Oryzias latipes: one gene and its partner. The protein of the gene in region 2 purifies or fractionates together with the protein of the main gene of each other region. This does not show direct contact. Links are inferred from orthologs where the notes say so. Each region holds a gene or a part of one and is shown on either strand. Other genes may lie near its edges.

Region 1 (8,367 bases), on a different chromosome or scaffold from region 2:
ATCTAATTCAGAGAAAAAACTTGAATGAAGAAACAAAAATGTATAGTTTTCTGTGTGCACCTGAACACACCACAGTCGTGCTAAAGGAAACAGTTTCTCCTTCATTTGTCTTCCTGCATTCAGATCATTCATTCATCTGTTAATATTTGTGATGGTGTTTACCAGCTCACCAGAAGAGGTTTGAGAGCAATCTCAAATAAAAAAAGTCTGTGAGGGAGGAGCCCGCATCAGCAGCCCCGCCCTAGAGAGGGGGGCATGGCTGAAAACGGTTTCCTGTCCCAGTTTGGGGCTTCAGTGGCTCTTCTTGGACGAGCCAAACCCCGAGAAGCCCATCACTGCTGCCATCTCATCATCGTCCTCCAGGTCCAAGTCCTCCTCAGCACGCCGCTTCCTCTCTTTCTGCTTCTCTTTCCTGTAGGCCTTCGCCTTCTCCTCCTGAGGAGACCAGGAACCAGTTTTTATTCATGACTTCACCAGATTATAAAACACTGAAGACACTGAAAGAAAAGAATGAAAGTAGGAGCGCTGGAAAAAGCAGAAGAATCAACAGAGCAGCCTTTTCCAAATTTCACAGGACTCTGGGAGCTGACCAGCAGGGGGCGCTCACCTCTTCCCGCAGCTCCTTCATGCGCTCCTCAAAGTCGTACTCCTTCTGCTTCTCCTCCATCTTCTTCCTGTTCACCTCAAAGCGTTTCTTCACCTGATCCAGAGACGAGCGCTCCACCCGCATGGACATGCCCAGGTTCCTCTGATCTGAACACACACACACATTTATCAACACACATTCATGGACATACAGTCAGGTCCATAAACAACAGGACAGCGACACAATTCCAACATGTTTGACTCTATATGCCACCAAAATGGATTTGAAATGAAACTAACAAGATGTGCTTTAACTGCAGACTGTCAGCTTTAATTTGTGGGTATTTCCATCCAGATCAGGTGAACTGTGTAGGAATTACAACAGTTTGCATCTGTGCCTCCCACTTGTTAAGGAACCAAAAGCAATGGGCCAATCGGCTTCTCAGCTGTTCCAGGGACAGGTGTGTGTTATTCCCTCACTATCCCAACTACAAAGAGCAGATAAAAGGTCCAGAGCTTTTGAAGTGTGCTGTATGCATTTGCAATCTGTTGCCGTCAACTCTCAAGATGAGATCCAAAGAGTTGTTATTATCAGTGAAGAAGCAGTCATTAGGCTGAAAAAACAAAAATAACCATCAGAGAGATAGTAAAAATATGAGGCGTGGCCACAACGACTGTTTGGAACATTCTTAAAAAGAAGGAACGCACTGGGGAGCTCAGCATGCCAAACAGCCCGGAAGACCACAGAAAACATGTGTGGTGGATGACCGAAGAATTGTGTTCCTGGTGAAGAGAACTCCCTTCACAACAGTCGGCCAGATCAAGAACACTCTCCAGGAGGTAAGGTGTGCATGTGTGTAGAAGTCGACAATCAAGAGAAGACTTCACCAGAGTGAGTTCAGAGGGTTTACCACAAGATGTAAACCATTAGTGAGCCTCAAAAACAGGAGGGCCAGATTAGAGTTTGCCAAACGACATCTAAAACAGTCTTCACAGCTCTGGAAAAACGTCCTATGGACAGATGAGACTAAGATCAACCTCTACCAGAGTATGGAGAAGGAAAGGAACTGCTCATGATCCTAAGCATACCACCTCATCAGTGAAGCATGGTGGTGGTATTGTCATGGCGTGGGCATGTATGCCTGCTAATGGAACTGTTCTCTTCTATCTATTGATGATGTGAACGCTGACAAAAGCAGTAGGATGAATTCTGAAGGCTTTTGGGCTCATGATCAGCCAAATGCTTCAGTGGACGGCGCTTCACAGTGCAGATGGACCATGACCCAAAGCAAACTGCAACCGCAACTAAAGGCCTTCTTAAGGGAAAGAAGTGGAATGTTATGCAATGTTTCACTTGCTGAAGACAAAACTGAAGGTAAAATGCCCCAACAACAAGCAGGAACTGAAGACCGATGCATTGGAGGCCTGGCAGAGCATCACCAGGGATGAAACCCAGCGTCTGGAGATGTCTGTGAGTTCCAGACTTCATGCTGGAATTGACTGCAAAGGATTTGCAACCAAGTATTAAAAAGTAAATGTCTGATTTATGATTATTGTTCTGACCATTACTTTTGGTTCCTTAACAAGTGGGAGGCACAGATGCAAACTGTTGTAATTCCTACACAGTTCACCTGATCTGGATGGAAATACCCACAAATTAAAGCTGACAGTCTGCAGTTAAAGCACATCTTGTTCGTTTTATTTCAAATCCATTTTGGTGGCATATAGAGTCAAACATGTTGGAATTGTGTCGCTGTCCCATTATTTATGGACCTGACTGTATAAAATGATCCACGTTACATCTGCGCTCTTGGCCCCTCCCTAAAGCACAGGTGTACTTACGTTTCTTGCCGTTGATGTGATCCAGAAAGTTGATGGAGTCTTTGACCACACAGTCACAAACATTGCAGTAATATCTGAAAAAAAAAATATGTCGGAACCAGAACCCAGACCTGTCCGTTTCTGCTCCACAACTTTTTCTTATTGGTTCAAAGAGTTTCAGTTTTCCATTTTTCCAAACCCAAAGCCGTCAGGAACTCACCCGCCCATCTCCGCCTGAGGGGTGGTCTTGGTGATGACAATAGTTTTCCCCAGTTTGGACTCCAGATCCACTTTGTAGTCTCTGTGCCGCAGGAGCTCCCGCTTGACGGGAGGGACAGGTTTTCCTGAAAGAGCCAACAGGTCATGCGTCAGGGGTGATAAGCGATTGACCCCCAAGGGTCCCCAAAGAACGGAGAGCGCTGCCCTCACCATCCCTGAGCTCCCGCTCGCGCTCCTCGTTCAGCCGCTTCTGAGCGAGATTCTCGTACTCGTCCTTGTCCCATTTCCGCCGGAAGTCGTTCTTGCTGGACTGGAAGACACGAGAAGATGACTCAGAGCGCCTCGATTATCTTCACATCTCAACAAACATTCAGCTGATGAAGACGAGGAGCTTTTACTCCTCCTGACAAAAGAGCAACAGCTTCTCAACTCAACTTCATTGATAAAACTCTAAAACAGAACCACAGAGACACAACAACAGAGAAGGAACAAAAGCAGGAAAGCCTCATGCTTCGTCAGAAGAATGTTTAAATGCAGACGGTGAAGATGCCTGTTGGACTGTCAGAGCTGACGCCTTGTGCACCTTCCAAGCTCAAACAGGAGGAGCTGGCTCTTCCCAGAGGTTCCTCCTGGATCTCTGTCCCTCCAGGGAAAGATATGAGCTTAACCGAGATTCCAAAAGCTCAGAGAGGTATGGATGAACGCACAAATCATGGGGAACGTGTGACCCATGATTTATGCGTGAGCCATGCTGCTGCTCGTATTTAATGGTGTTTGGGAAAAGGGCTGTTCCTACTCCGTGACCCGAGATAAGGGGAGGGCTCAGGCCGAACATCCAGCTGACGGGAAGCATCCATGTTGGATAAACAGATGAGTCCAAAGAGATCCTTCATAATGAACATTAGATTTTTCAGAAATCTCCGTTCAACAGCCTGATCCTGGCTGCAGCTGCAGCCTGAAACTGATCAGCTCTCCAAATGCATGGTGCCGTCAGGCTCCAGGGGGATACGCCTGCTGGTGGAGCTGTGCTTACAGGACAGGAAACCCTAAGTCACTCTAGACCAGTGTTTTTCAACCTTTTTTGAGCCACGGCACACTTTAACCCTGAAAAAGATCCCGCGGCACACCAGCATCCAAAAAAAAAAAAAAAAAGCAGAAATTCATGGTCTGTATTGATCGACAGCTCTTCCCTTTCATTCATATTATCAAAGTAAACATTTTCAACAGGGGTGGGTTTATAAATTTTATAATATAGCAACAGAAACATTGTTTCATATTTGCAAAAACCAAAAAGGACATTATCCTTATTATTACAGTTTCATTTATTATCATCACAGTCGGCTTTACGAAATAAACTTCAAGAGCTTTTATTTTGCCACACCGGAATTCGTTACACCTTTGAATTAGTCCTTTAAAGATAAAAACTAACGGCGGTTGAGTCAAAACGTTTTTGGTACTAATTTTTTTTTTTTTTAAAAAGGGCCGTAAAATTCTGCAAATAAAGTACCCAAGCGTCAGAGCGAGTTAGCCGCTGCTAGTCCGAGGCCGCGCTTCTAACGGCAGCAGCTGATGTCTGTAACGGTTACAGTCAAAACGCCTCCACGGTACCAAATATAAAGTGAAGAATTTTAATCTTGTTTATTGAATTAAACTGTATTACAACAAACAGGGGCAGAGAAATTCTGCTTGGAAACTCACCCCACTGCCGGACGCCATCTTGTTTACCTACGGAAAATACGTCACCGGATGTTGCAGCTCGTCATTGCTAGTTTCCTGTCTAAATTTAGTTCTATCGGTAGAGGAGACATCACGTGATTCCTCAAGGGGGGAGAGCATCGCCATCTTGGTGAGGTCAAATTACTGCTGTAGTGCATGCATGTGAACACATTTCTTGCAAAATACCAGTTCATTTTTCGGGTTTCAACTGCCAAAATCAGAGAAATGAGTCCACGAAGGAGGAAGGCATAACATTTCACAGGTAAGTATTATATATTTTTTTCTTTTAATGCTGCAGGGGCATCATTAATCATACACATGTTTTCATGCATGATGCTGCAGGGCGATTATCAACATGTAGGCATGATGTACGTATAATTTGCTGTCGATATAAATGTAAACTTTATTGTGTTAAACCTGTATACATTATACTAGGCTATTATAGTAATAGAGATTTATACATTTCTGACTCAGTGACTGAAATTTTATTGCAGGTTTCCAATGGATTCAGACTTAAGGAAAAAGTGGGCCTTAGCAATAAAAAGAGCTAACCCAGATGGATCACTGTGGTACCAACTAGTAATACAGTCTGGCTATGTTCAAAACAATTTGAGGAAACAGATTTTGATGAGACTGGCCAGACTGTTAGCTTGAAACCCGACACTAAACCAACTGTGTCACACAAATTTATCACTAACATGAATCAGGAGGTAAATCTATTTCTTTTCTTTGTTTTTTTAAAGGGGAAAATCTGTTGTTGACTTTTGGACTTTTTGTTGACTTATTATTGATTTATTATTATCATTTATTATTATTTACCTATTATTGATTTATTTTTATCATTCAATATTATTATTGACTTACTATTGATTTATTATTATTATTATTTATTGATTCATTATTATTATTATTATTATTATTATTATTATTATTATTATTATTATTATTATTATTATTATTATTGACTTATTTATATATTGTTATTAATTATTATTATTATTGACTTATTATTTATATTTGTTATTTATTATTATTATTGACTTATTATTTATATATTGTTATTATTTATTATTATTATTGACTTATTGTTGGGCTTTTCTAAATAATTTCAATTACATGTCAAAGAGGTCTAAAACTTGGAAATGTTTAAAAATTAAAAACAATGCATTTTTCATTAAAGTTTGAACTTTTAAAGCTGACTGTTTCTCTTATTTAAAAGCATCAAATGATGTATATATATAAAAATTATATACATTTATCATGTGTTTATTTATATGTATAAATATATAGAAATTTGAATAAATATAAATTATATAAAAGCTACTTAGATGCTACCAAAGGCTAAAGAAATCATTGTCATGTAGGCGTCGTTGACCTCACCAAGATGGCGTTGCGTTCCGCCACCGTCGGCCAGGCTTCCCAAGCGGGCGTGTCTCCTCTAGCGATATAACTCATTGAGTTCAGACAATTCACTGGCTATGTCCGAATTCCCACCCTAATCCCTAACTACTAATAAAACTATAAGTGTGGGACTATCCAATGTCCCGGATTTTAAAAGCAATTAGGACACCTTGCTGACTTCATTATTTTAAAACTGCGAATATGACATCACTGATTTCCCAAAGTTAAAATCTAATCAATATGAGCAATGCATGAAGACTATTTATGAATCCACTGTGCTCTGATGATGAAATCATTGAGTGTTCATACAAAACAATAAAATACATTTTTGCTCTCAAAAATTGTTCAATTGCATTGTGGTCTACACACGCCAATCTAGTAGCGAGCATCAATACACACTAATCTTTCGCAAATAATTTCTAAACCACTTGATTTTGAAATTTGAACAGCTTTACAAAATGGTGAACGCACTAGGTGCACTCTGTGCGTAGTGATTCCACAACCACTCTGTGGAATTAGTACAATTTGACTTCTCAATCTGACTGCACAATCTACTTCCAAGTGTACTTTTAAAGGGCTTATATCATGCAAAAGCAACTCTGTGATCTTTTAACTAAGGGTTAATGGCCGACGAAGTGTGCATTAGCACTTTTTAACACACGCCGTGAAGCCTGAACCATCCGACGCGAAGCGCTTATCAAAATAAAGCAAGAGGATTGCTTTTATCACAAAAAGCGGACTATTTGTTACATGGTGCGGCGACTGCATCGCTTTTTACCGCACACCCAGCAGCCAATCAGAATCGGGTATTCACCCGGACGATGGTATAATTGTATTATAACGTTCATCATTCATAATGAACAACCCCAAAGGAATATTTGGATCCATTTACCCGTTTCTGGGTGTTCCTTTAAAAACCTGCTCTCTGAGCACCAGCCCCTCCAAACCCACAAAAACAAGAGAGTTCTCCCATTGTGATGTCACAAAGTGAGGAACAGCCCCTTCCAGGAAGAGTCTGTGCTGCCAGCACCTCCCCCAGCCAGACTAGCACAAACTCCACTCTCTCCGTGGAGCTAGCGGTGATCGGCTAAATGCGTTTATTTTGTATGCACAATTTGCACATCCATCTTTGCAAATATTTGGATGTTTGTTTTCGTGGGTGAAACACAGACATGCTGCTGAGGCCTGGAATCGTTTTTTTTTTTTTTTTTGGTGATCCATCTCTGCCAGAGGATCTGGAGCCAATTTTTCCAATACTTTATAAATTAATTTCAAGTTAGTGTAACAAGGGTTACACTTGGTAGAAGACATGTGTGGACAGGTTTCTCGTTTTCCGCTCAACAGGATACTGCGACCCCATGTGTTTGAGCAGGGAACTGCATGTAAGCGACTTTTCTTCATTTTTTGTTTGATATGTACAGATCCTGCTGCAGTCATCAATAAAAAGGGCAGCGTTCAGCAGATGTTTGGGTCCAGACTCTCTTCATTTGTCCAGCAGAACAAGAACACAACGCAGATTACTTTGGGTAAACGGATGCGCAACCCGAACTAAATTGCAACCAGGCAGATCCGCGCCCGTTACGTGTGGGAAGACTGACCTCATTTAAATTCTACAGTTTTTGAAATTACACAGTGACAATGCAAGCCTTAAAACTTGATCAGAGAGAGAACACATCTGGGAACTTTAAATTCAAACTTTATTTGTATAACGCCTGTCATTTTATTTGAAAGCAAAAGCGCTTGACATAAAAGCAAATAAAATAGTCATAAAATATAAAAATGAATTAAAATAGAAAACTTAGGAGAATCACACACCGATGGGACCCCTCCCTCACCAGTTTCCTCCCTCCATCCACCCAGTTCCCCCAATATAACCCTGAACAAAAACTGCAGGTTAAAGAAAAAGTCTGGTGTGGTTCTGCTGTGCAGAAATGACATAATAGTAATCCATATGTTGCAAGGCCCAACCTGACCACGAGGGTCATTGCCACAGCATTTAGACCACAGAGCGAGACCCCAGCCGACCCTATGAAAACGAGCACCGCAGCAACAGCACCCCCTAGAGGCGGAGCCGGTAGTTCTCCAATTCAATTCAATTTTATTTGTACAGCCCAAATTTACGATGGGCTTAAAATGGATCCCCAAGAGGAAACACCTGATTATGAAACATCAGAATATAAATTACAATAAAATAACAATACTAAAAATAAGATATAACAATAATAGCAATTAAAATACAAAAAGTAAAATTAACTTTAAATATCATGAATATAATGAAAATTAAAAAAGGTATTAAAAAACTAATAATAATAGTCCTCATATAATGTTAAAAAATGTATTAAGTAATGAAAATAGATAAATTAATAACTCCATTAATAAATAAAAGAATCAAATAATCAGGCAACTACCAAAGTCATGTTAAAGCCAAATTAAAAAGATGGGTCTTGAGTTTCTATTTCAGTTTAAATACGTGGGGCCAACAACCAAATCCAGCCTTGATCGCACTTAAAATACGTAAATGTGTGAAATGTATGGAAGCGATTCTGTAGCATTAATAAAAAGCAAAGTCAAAACCAGAAATGCATTTTCGTTTTCAACATGAAGCTGCATTTTTTGACTCAAAAT
Region 2 (8,451 bases):
GTGTTGGACAGGTGTTTATTTTTACAATAACGGGTTATATATCTTCGCATAACCCCTTTTCTTTTTTATAATGTTTTATTTGGGGGGGGGGGTTCTTGTGTGCACGGCAGCCTGCTTTTTCTGAGCCAAGAAAATAAAATGATCCTTATTATTATTGAGCATTGTTTCATTTTATTTATTCTTTAAATTTTAGTTCTGGTTACGTATTTCGCCATGTTGCTTTAATTAAAAGGTGAGTTTGGGACATAGCAGTATTTTATGCCTAAATATGTAAATCTTTAAAACAGACAGAGGATATAGTACTTTCTTTTTTGGCCGTCATTAAAAACTGGAATGACGTGTTGCATTTTTTCTGGCTTATACAGAAAAATATTGCTTATAGTTTCAATTTAACAGTTAACAAATGATTTGTAAATGATACAGGTGATGTAGGATTGAATGTTGGCCATCTGTTATCATTTATGTGTGACTAATTAGAAGATGTTTATATTTCATTGTGAAACTATGTCAGTTATTATTAGTGTTGTTTTTTTGGTAACTTCATTCATTCTTATGCATCTTAAGGGCTTATTGTTTTGTGATTTTCTGCTTTCTAGCTTTCATTGTTGCAGGAGAAGCTGCATGCAGAGCTTCCTGATGGCGCCTTGGTGGTAGCTGGTCGTTTCCCTTTCCCAGACTGGGAACCCTGCAGAATTGAAGGACATGGAGTTGACAGAGCATGGGCATACAACATGCAAGCTCAAAAACAAAGACTTTTAGGAAAAGTCAGCAATATTTAGACACAGTACAATGAGTTATTCATTGAGGGGTGACATATATACACAACCTTTACCTGGCTGGAGTTGGAATTGAAGTAACTTTCACCTTAACCCATATATGGTGACATCAGTGAAACTGACAAAAATCAGAAAGGACCACTTGGTTTGTGGTAAAATACACATCATTTTATTTTTAAGAAAAAAGGGGTCTGTGTTCTCATTGGTTAAGGTGATCAAATAAATTTTTAAACTATGAAGTATCCTTTTATCATAGTTTTGAAAGGCTATCATTTTAAAATGCAAACTATTTTTTAAATTAGGAATTGTTTAAATGCCCAAAATTGATCAAATAAAATACAATTTCTGCTGCCTATATTGCCTTAGGGAAAATACACACAATCGATGTTTTTAAAAATGTTTTCTCATACCATTTGTTTGAGCGGCCAGTTAAAGAGTTAAAAAATTATTTCAGGGATTGCTAAAAAGATTATATAAAATATAAGTAGCCAACATTTGTGTTTATAAAATGCTAAATCGTAAAATCTTTACTATATTTATTTGAGGTTTTATTTTTAAGGTGGACATGTGTAAAGTAGTTCTGAGTTATTTGTATTTAGATTTATATATTAAAGGAATTTATGATAATAAAAAAACTAAGTTAAAGCCATTTAGAGCCAACTGTCTACAACTCAAAACATTGCATAGCAACCCAACCTCACATTGATTCAAACTGTTGCGAAATGTCTGGTCTAACTGGGTTGCCTTCTGGTTTTTGGTCTAAGCTGACACTATGTTAGTTTTTTGTTTTGTTTTGTTTGTTCATTAAAATGGATTTGATTCTGACAGTACTCATTTGTCTCTTCTTCTTGTAAAAACTGTTTTTTTAAACCGATCTCATGTCACGATGAATAGGAAAAGATATGCCTGCATTTGTTGAAATATTCTGCTTTAGTAGTTAACCAGAGCAGCCTAAGTATGAAGTAACATACAAAACTGAGGGACAGCGGTATTGCTGACTTGTTTGCACAGCATTTGTTTTACCACTGTAACAGTTGCCTCCTTGCACATCTGTCAGTCCCTAATGACCATACCAATGCTCAAAAAAGATCATGAGGTTTCGGGTTAATTTGGGGCTGACTGTATGCAGCTAGGATGTAAAATGGGTTACCCCTCTTGCCATTGCAGTAAAATAAGGAAGGCAGAATGATGTGTTTTTACACAACACAGTGAGGCAGAGTAACAAAGAAACAAGCTGCATCAACATGAGTTTTAGCTGCTTTTAGTATCTTTAACACAAAACTGAAAGCTATTTAAAGACTTTTGTCTTTATTGTTTGAATTTACTGATAGAATTCTTTGAACTAATTTATTTGTAAATTCTTTGCATTACTTTGCGTTAAATTAATTTAAACAGGCTTTAGTATTCAGTGTTTTGCATAAAAGGGTTAAGAGAAGTTTAGGCTTCATGGTTTTCTTATGGGTATATCTGTCTTTTTACCTCACTTTTTACATGTGTGCTAATATTTTTAAATATTCTCAAAGATGATAAAGGTTCACGTATTAATAACAGTGTACTTTGCTATTGTTTTGATTCAGCTTTCCTTGCGTGATATAAATAGACCTCCATGGATATTGAATACTTGTTGACAGTATTCACTTCCTTTTTTAGACTTTCAAAATATTAGATCTGTGCATGAATGGACAATATTTTTTTAAAGGTCAAAATTGCTTAATTCGTTTCCAATCACGTAAATAATAATAATTATTATTATCATTATTGTCATTGTAGCATAAATAAGTTATGTATTTTTTAATTTACTATAAAGAGGAGAAGTGTTTACTCTGGTCCCGTGCTAAGGCCATTTCCGTCAATTGTTTTCATCACTTCCATACTTTTGACATCTTATTTGGCTTTTTAAAAGAAAGCTATTCAATTATTATATTAATTTCTAAACAACACTGGCTCAGAAGTGTAGTTTTTTTTAATTTATTTTTTTTTTTCAGCACATGACGTGACGTTCCAGCAGGGGGTTGGATTATGTCATAAGAGGAAGTTGCGAAGCAGACCCTAACCTGCAGCTAGCCACCGACTTGAGCCGCCCTAAAGCTGTGAAAAGAAGAAAAACAGGAACAAACGCGTGGAGTATAATTTGTCGTTTCTATAGTACTTTTTAGCTTTTAACCATGGCAGTGTATATGTACCCGCTTTTAACTTAAAACGCTGAAGACGCATTCTCGTGACCAACAGCCACAGACAGTCATGCCTACAGTTGCCACCTAGCTAACGAAAGTATACGTTCCTTCTAGAAAGGCTAGCTTGTTAGCTAGACAGTCGCTGCGGCGCTAGCAACTGGATAATTTAGCTTTGAAATGGCTGACACTGAACGCTGAATAATGATGCACAATTTACCCGGTGCAAGAGTCTGTTTTGGTTTGATTTTTCACAATTGCACGTCCATGTAGACTAGAAGGTAGCTGTTAATGAATTCGGCGATAAATGGCAACGTTTCTGCTAACATATCAAATTGAGATTGATGGTTTAGTCTATTTTATTATCCGGTAAGTGAAGAAGCGTTTTTTTTAATAAAAAGGAAATTGATATTTTAAATTAACGACGATACTCAACATTTCTGAGGCTAACACAGTAGCAGACCAGTATGAACAGACTTTGCGGTTTCGTTAGCCAGGAAAACATTAGCTAACGTTAGCTGCAAAATTGGCTTGCAGCGTACCTAATGTTGGCTTAAAGGAAATTAATCAGCACCTACGTAACTCGAAGAAAGCGTCTGATTCAACTGATCATGGTATGTATAATTTATATAATAAAAACCTGCTTTATTGCGTTAATTTCTGTCTTCCAGATTGCTTTGATCTCAACTTCTGGTTTGATTTTCACATTTCGATCTTGAAAACCTAATAAAAGTAAGCACATTTGGGTGCAGCTTCTGGTGATACCATGTGGACCTTGATGTTTCATGTCATAACGGTTTAAGACTAGGTATTTGCCTGGAATGCCACAGGCCAATGTGCTGTGTCATACAAAGCCAAACCTCTTTGAGTGGTGGAGAGCCTTGGCAAGTTGTGTCTTATTTAAGGAATTTGGATCTGCCTTCGCTTCACAAGCCCACGTCTCAGTTTGGCAAGACTAGGCCCAATTTCCTACATGCTACAAATAATTAGCCTGATCGCAGCTTTAAACTGTTGAACTTTTACTCTGTAGTTTTGGTAAACAGTTCCCAAAAACATCAATTACACAGTGGCAACAATGGAAGATGAGATGTGCAAGTGTGGACATGTTGAGAATCCAGCTCACTGCATGTCTTCCTAAAGCCAAGAGGGTATTTATGATTTAAAAAAATGAAGATTGTTGTGCACAAAATGCTTTAAAAAAAAAAAAAAAAAAAGCGAGGCTTGCTTGCATTAGAGTTATCCGATCTTACATTATATTGTAGTGATCTGTTTTTCATGTATAATTTTGTCAACTGATGTGCAGCATTGAACCTGTACTCCAAAATGTTCTTTTATTCTCAATTAGTCTTCGGAGGAAGGATCACTGCGCGCTTTAGAGAACCTGATGACAGAGTTCTTTCACAGCTGCACAACTAATGAGCGGAAAAGAGAAATCGGTAAGTGCACTTTTAAAATAAAATCCCATTTATACACACCAGAAGCAACAGCATGATTCAATGCTTTCTCTCTCTCTTTTTTTTTCTTTCTGTTAAAATGCTTAAGAGGACGTTTAAATGTAAAAATAGGCAGCCATCTAAATAAGCTCACAGTCAGTGTCTATGATAAACATTGCTTTGAGGCTGAAATTAAAGGTGGGCCAAAAGATCATGTGAGAGTCTTATGGGCCGGTTCACAACCTAACACTGCTCTCTCCTTACAGAGCGATCGGCCCATGTGAATTTGTGATAAGTTGTGCTCAAGGCTGCATGAATACTAAAAACAGTAGACGGTCAGCAAAGGAGTTTTAGGCAGAAAACATAAATTAATCTGAATCAGGATGATTGTTTGCTGCACACATATCGTGATGGTATTTACTAAAACGTAGCTGCTGCTTTTACATTCAGCACTTAAAAAAAGTCGTTTAGTGTACTGACATATCTTTTTACAGTTATTAATCAGATATGCAATTGAAAAAAGCCAAAATAAGTATAATTATGATTATTTATTTTGAATAAACACGGCACATTTGAAATAAAACGCCCTCTCTCAGATATGAGGCCAGTTTTGTGTCACTTCCTCCTCATTTCCTGCAAGTTCTTCCCACTGTGTTTGATAAATGAAGGTAAAATGCCACACTTGGAATATTGCCTTTTCATCATATTGTAAATTTTATTCAATAAAGCCTTATATTCCAGTCATAATTGTCGGTGCTAAATGGGTGAAGTGACTCATTTCCCCTTTAATTTGGAGATATTGAAGCTCGAATATCGCACATTTTTACAGGAATGCTTAATTTGGTGCATTTTGGTGATCTTTTGTTCATTATATATTTTTAATAATAACATTTTATGTCCACTTCCCGCGTTGTGATACTCTGCTTTCACTTTGTTCCAGCTGAGTCTACCATGTCGTGCATGTCTGTCTAAGATCGTATCTGCCTTCTTTTTTTCTGCAGAAGAGTTGCTAAATAACTTTGCACAACAGGCTGGAGCGTGGCGCCACTGCTTGTTCTTTCTCTCCAGTACTCGAAATGAGTATGTAATGATGTACAGCCTCACAGTATTTGAGGTAGGTTTCGAGGATCGCAGGTTTAAGAACAAAGTCCTTGTATGCACAGAGATCACAGGAAGTGCTGTGTTAGATGTTTGGTGTGCGTTTCCGCTCTTTCTTTTACCTCTTTTTCTCTCCTTAAGCAAGTTGGTTCTTTAACCATTATTGCAACCACGTTTGCAGTGGAAAATGCAACAAAAATGTGTTTTAAAGACTCTGCCTTCTACTGACTGCTCATTTTTTAATAAATACATTATTATTACAACAAAGAACTGAAAAAAACGTAACTGTTGTATACAGATCTGTTTAAAAACGTGTTTTTTGTTTCTATTTTAGAATCTGGTGAACAAAATGTGGATTGGTTTAGCCTCTCAAGATAAGATGGAGATCCGCAGCTGTCTGCCCAAACTTCTGCTTGCCCAACACAAAAATGTGCCCTATTTTATCCGTAACAAACTGTGCAAAGTCATTGTGGACATTGGTCGCCAGGACTGGCCAATGTTCTACCATGATTTCTTTTCGAACACGCTTCAGGTAAGCCCTGCTGATGTCTTTTCTGCTTTTCAGAAGTTTTCAGAAAGCTTCAATGAGATCTTCCCAGCCCTGGTGCTTAAGATCTGCCACATCGACTATTTCCTTTTTGCTTTTGGTGCTTATTAACTAACTTAGGTGTTTCTAAACTCTGACTGATCACGCCTGATTCAGGTCATCGGCAGCGGGAATAGCAGGGTGGTAGATCTAAAGGACCACGGCTGGAAACCTTTATTAAAATGGTAAATGATATGTTGGTTATTGCTGGATTACTTAAGTACTAATAAGTGGTTGTTTTATGCTACGGAGGGAATTTTTTTCTTTTTCTTCTCCTATTTGCTAGAACAATTCCACCTCCTACAATTGGAAGAGGTTTGGAGCAAAATGTCAAAGCTGTGCAAATCTTGTAAATCTTGCTGCAGGCTTTTCTTTCACAGCTCTATTCCGATAAGAAAGACTTTGTGCCGTATAATTCCAGCCGGGCACAAACCGGAATGATTAATTTCTCCTCCATGTTCAATTTACAAACGGTTTGCACTTCCAAATCTGAGTCCCCGAATGGTCATCTTTCAACGAATGTTTTGTACATAGAGCCTGAAAACAGGTGTAGAAACTTGCGTAGTGACGTTTGAACGAGAGAGTTTTGAACGTGAAAGCCCCAAACATGCATATATGTGCATTTACATAGACTTTTCGTTTAAAACGGGCAGTGTGAACATAGCTGTAGACCTGTGGGTTTTCAAACCACTGCCTCTAATGTAAAAAAAAACAAGGATAAGGGGATATAGGGCTTAGAAATTATCCTCAGTGACCCTTTGTGAGTTTACAAATTGTGTTCTTTCTAAAGTTTTCTATCTTTGATTTTTCTTTTGGTCAGTGTGACGATGCATTAGAGTCGTTTTGTATGTTTTGGTGATCTATCAATGGGTATTTTAAGGAAATTCAATACACAATGTTTTACAAAAACCGACTTTGCCTTTGAAAATGTTCGTTTATTTCAATGCTACACTGATTTAACACCCACTAAGATTTCTAACAGTTCTAGATTCTAAACAAGTCGAACGTCATGAGCAAACCTGAGGACTTTAAAAATGTATTTCGTTTGATCCAACACTTTAGCTTAGTTTAGTTTACATTTCCACAATGTGTCACAAATAACAAATCTCCTCACAATACACAACGTGAAAAAAAGGGACACCCCCAAAGCAGAAGCTTATTATTAGTGATCGGAACACTTCTGAAACCATTTTCTCTTATGAAGTTTAGAAATTTGTTAAGAGTGTGCTAAAGGTTGAGTCCAGGCCTTTTTTTCCCCTCGTGCTTGAATAAATAAATGTATGTTTCAGTAGTTGCATCATCTTAACTAGAAATGAGATGATGGGAATGTTGGGCAGCATCGGCCTACAAAGGTTGTAGTAAATCTAGTCAACATTCTGACTTCAGATTGTTGACTAGATTTATTTGTTTGTTTTATTTAATGCCAATATCTTGTGTTTGTGGTTTTGTCTATAAAAGTGATGAAAATAGTCTCAAAGTGGTGGAAAAGAGTTAGAAGAAGCAGGCCTAAATATTTGAGGTTATAAAGGTGGACGCTGCATGTACATACCTGTATTATCTCCATGCAGGATTGTGCAAAGACTTGAAGGTTTTTCTAAGAAACCTAAAGTGTTCCCTTATACGTCTTATCAAACATCCAACCCCAGAGAACAGTAATCTGTTCTTTTAAATGTCTGAAGCCGGTTAAGTCAGCCAGCAGAAGTTTCCTGTCTTTTTGAGTGGTCCGTGTGTCGATCTGTGCCCCACAGTTGATCCAGACTCCAGCGTTGGCTCCTTTGGGGTTGGTGATGTTAAAAACGACATCAGAGGAACTTGCATGCCCTCGAGAAGATCTATGTGTTGCTAGGAAAGAGGAGCTGCGTAAACTGTTGCTGGAGCAGGTGCCGACAGTGCTGGGGCTGCTAACAGGTGAGAACTATATATGTATAAAATATATATATATACACACACACACACACACACACATTAGGACCATTGTTTTTTGAACACTTATTCTTTCTCCATACTTTGCAGGAATCCTTGAGACCTATTGGGACAAGCACAGTGTCATCACTTCAACACCGCCTCCTTCGCCCACCTCCGGCGAGAGTGGTGCGTGAGTTGCTCTAGTTAACAAATGAGGCAAATTTTAATAATAAAGGCTTTAAGATGGACTATTGAAAAGATACTTCTAGGGTGTTAACACTATCATGTGCTTTTTGTAATCTTTCAGTGGAGTTGCTGGGCAGTTTGTTTCAGGGCAGCCAGTACTCAAAGTTGCTTTGTCAGCCAATGGCAGCTTTGGACAATGACGGTCATCAGCTCTGTTGTCTGGTTTTGGAGTGTCTGGCTCACCTGTTCAGCTGGATCCCTCTTTCCACAAGTATTACCCCAACGCTGCTGGCGTC

The links.
Region 1: the proteins of xpo6 (region 2) and zmat2 purify together in Homo sapiens (co-immunoprecipitation; 3 studies listed by BioGRID and IntAct, with this or other methods). This does not show direct contact. The link is inferred for Oryzias latipes from reciprocal best matches to the Homo sapiens genes XPO6 and ZMAT2.

What each region holds. Positions count from the first base shown.
Region 1 is NC_019872.2:3,286,446-3,294,812, forward strand, and holds the start of zmat2 (zinc finger matrin-type protein 2), read right to left. Parts: upstream 4,413-8,367; 5' UTR 4,342-4,412; coding exon 4,324-4,341; intron 2,936-4,323; coding exon 2,836-2,935; intron 2,751-2,835; coding exon 2,627-2,750; intron 2,502-2,626; coding exon 2,428-2,501; intron 754-2,427; coding exon 608-753; intron 436-607; coding exon 292-435; 3' UTR 1-291. UniProt on the Homo sapiens protein: Involved in pre-mRNA splicing as a component of the spliceosome.
Region 2 is NC_019866.2:14,398,060-14,406,510, forward strand, and holds the start of xpo6 (exportin-6), read left to right. Parts: upstream 1-2,799; 5' UTR 2,800-3,558; coding exon 3,559-3,561; intron 3,562-4,292; coding exon 4,293-4,383; intron 4,384-5,381; coding exon 5,382-5,494; intron 5,495-5,812; coding exon 5,813-6,010; intron 6,011-7,812; coding exon 7,813-7,972; intron 7,973-8,077; coding exon 8,078-8,155; intron 8,156-8,276; coding exon 8,277-8,451. Other genes in the region: protein FAM173A, read left to right, coding at 597-779. UniProt on the Homo sapiens protein: Mediates the nuclear export of actin and profilin-actin complexes in somatic cells.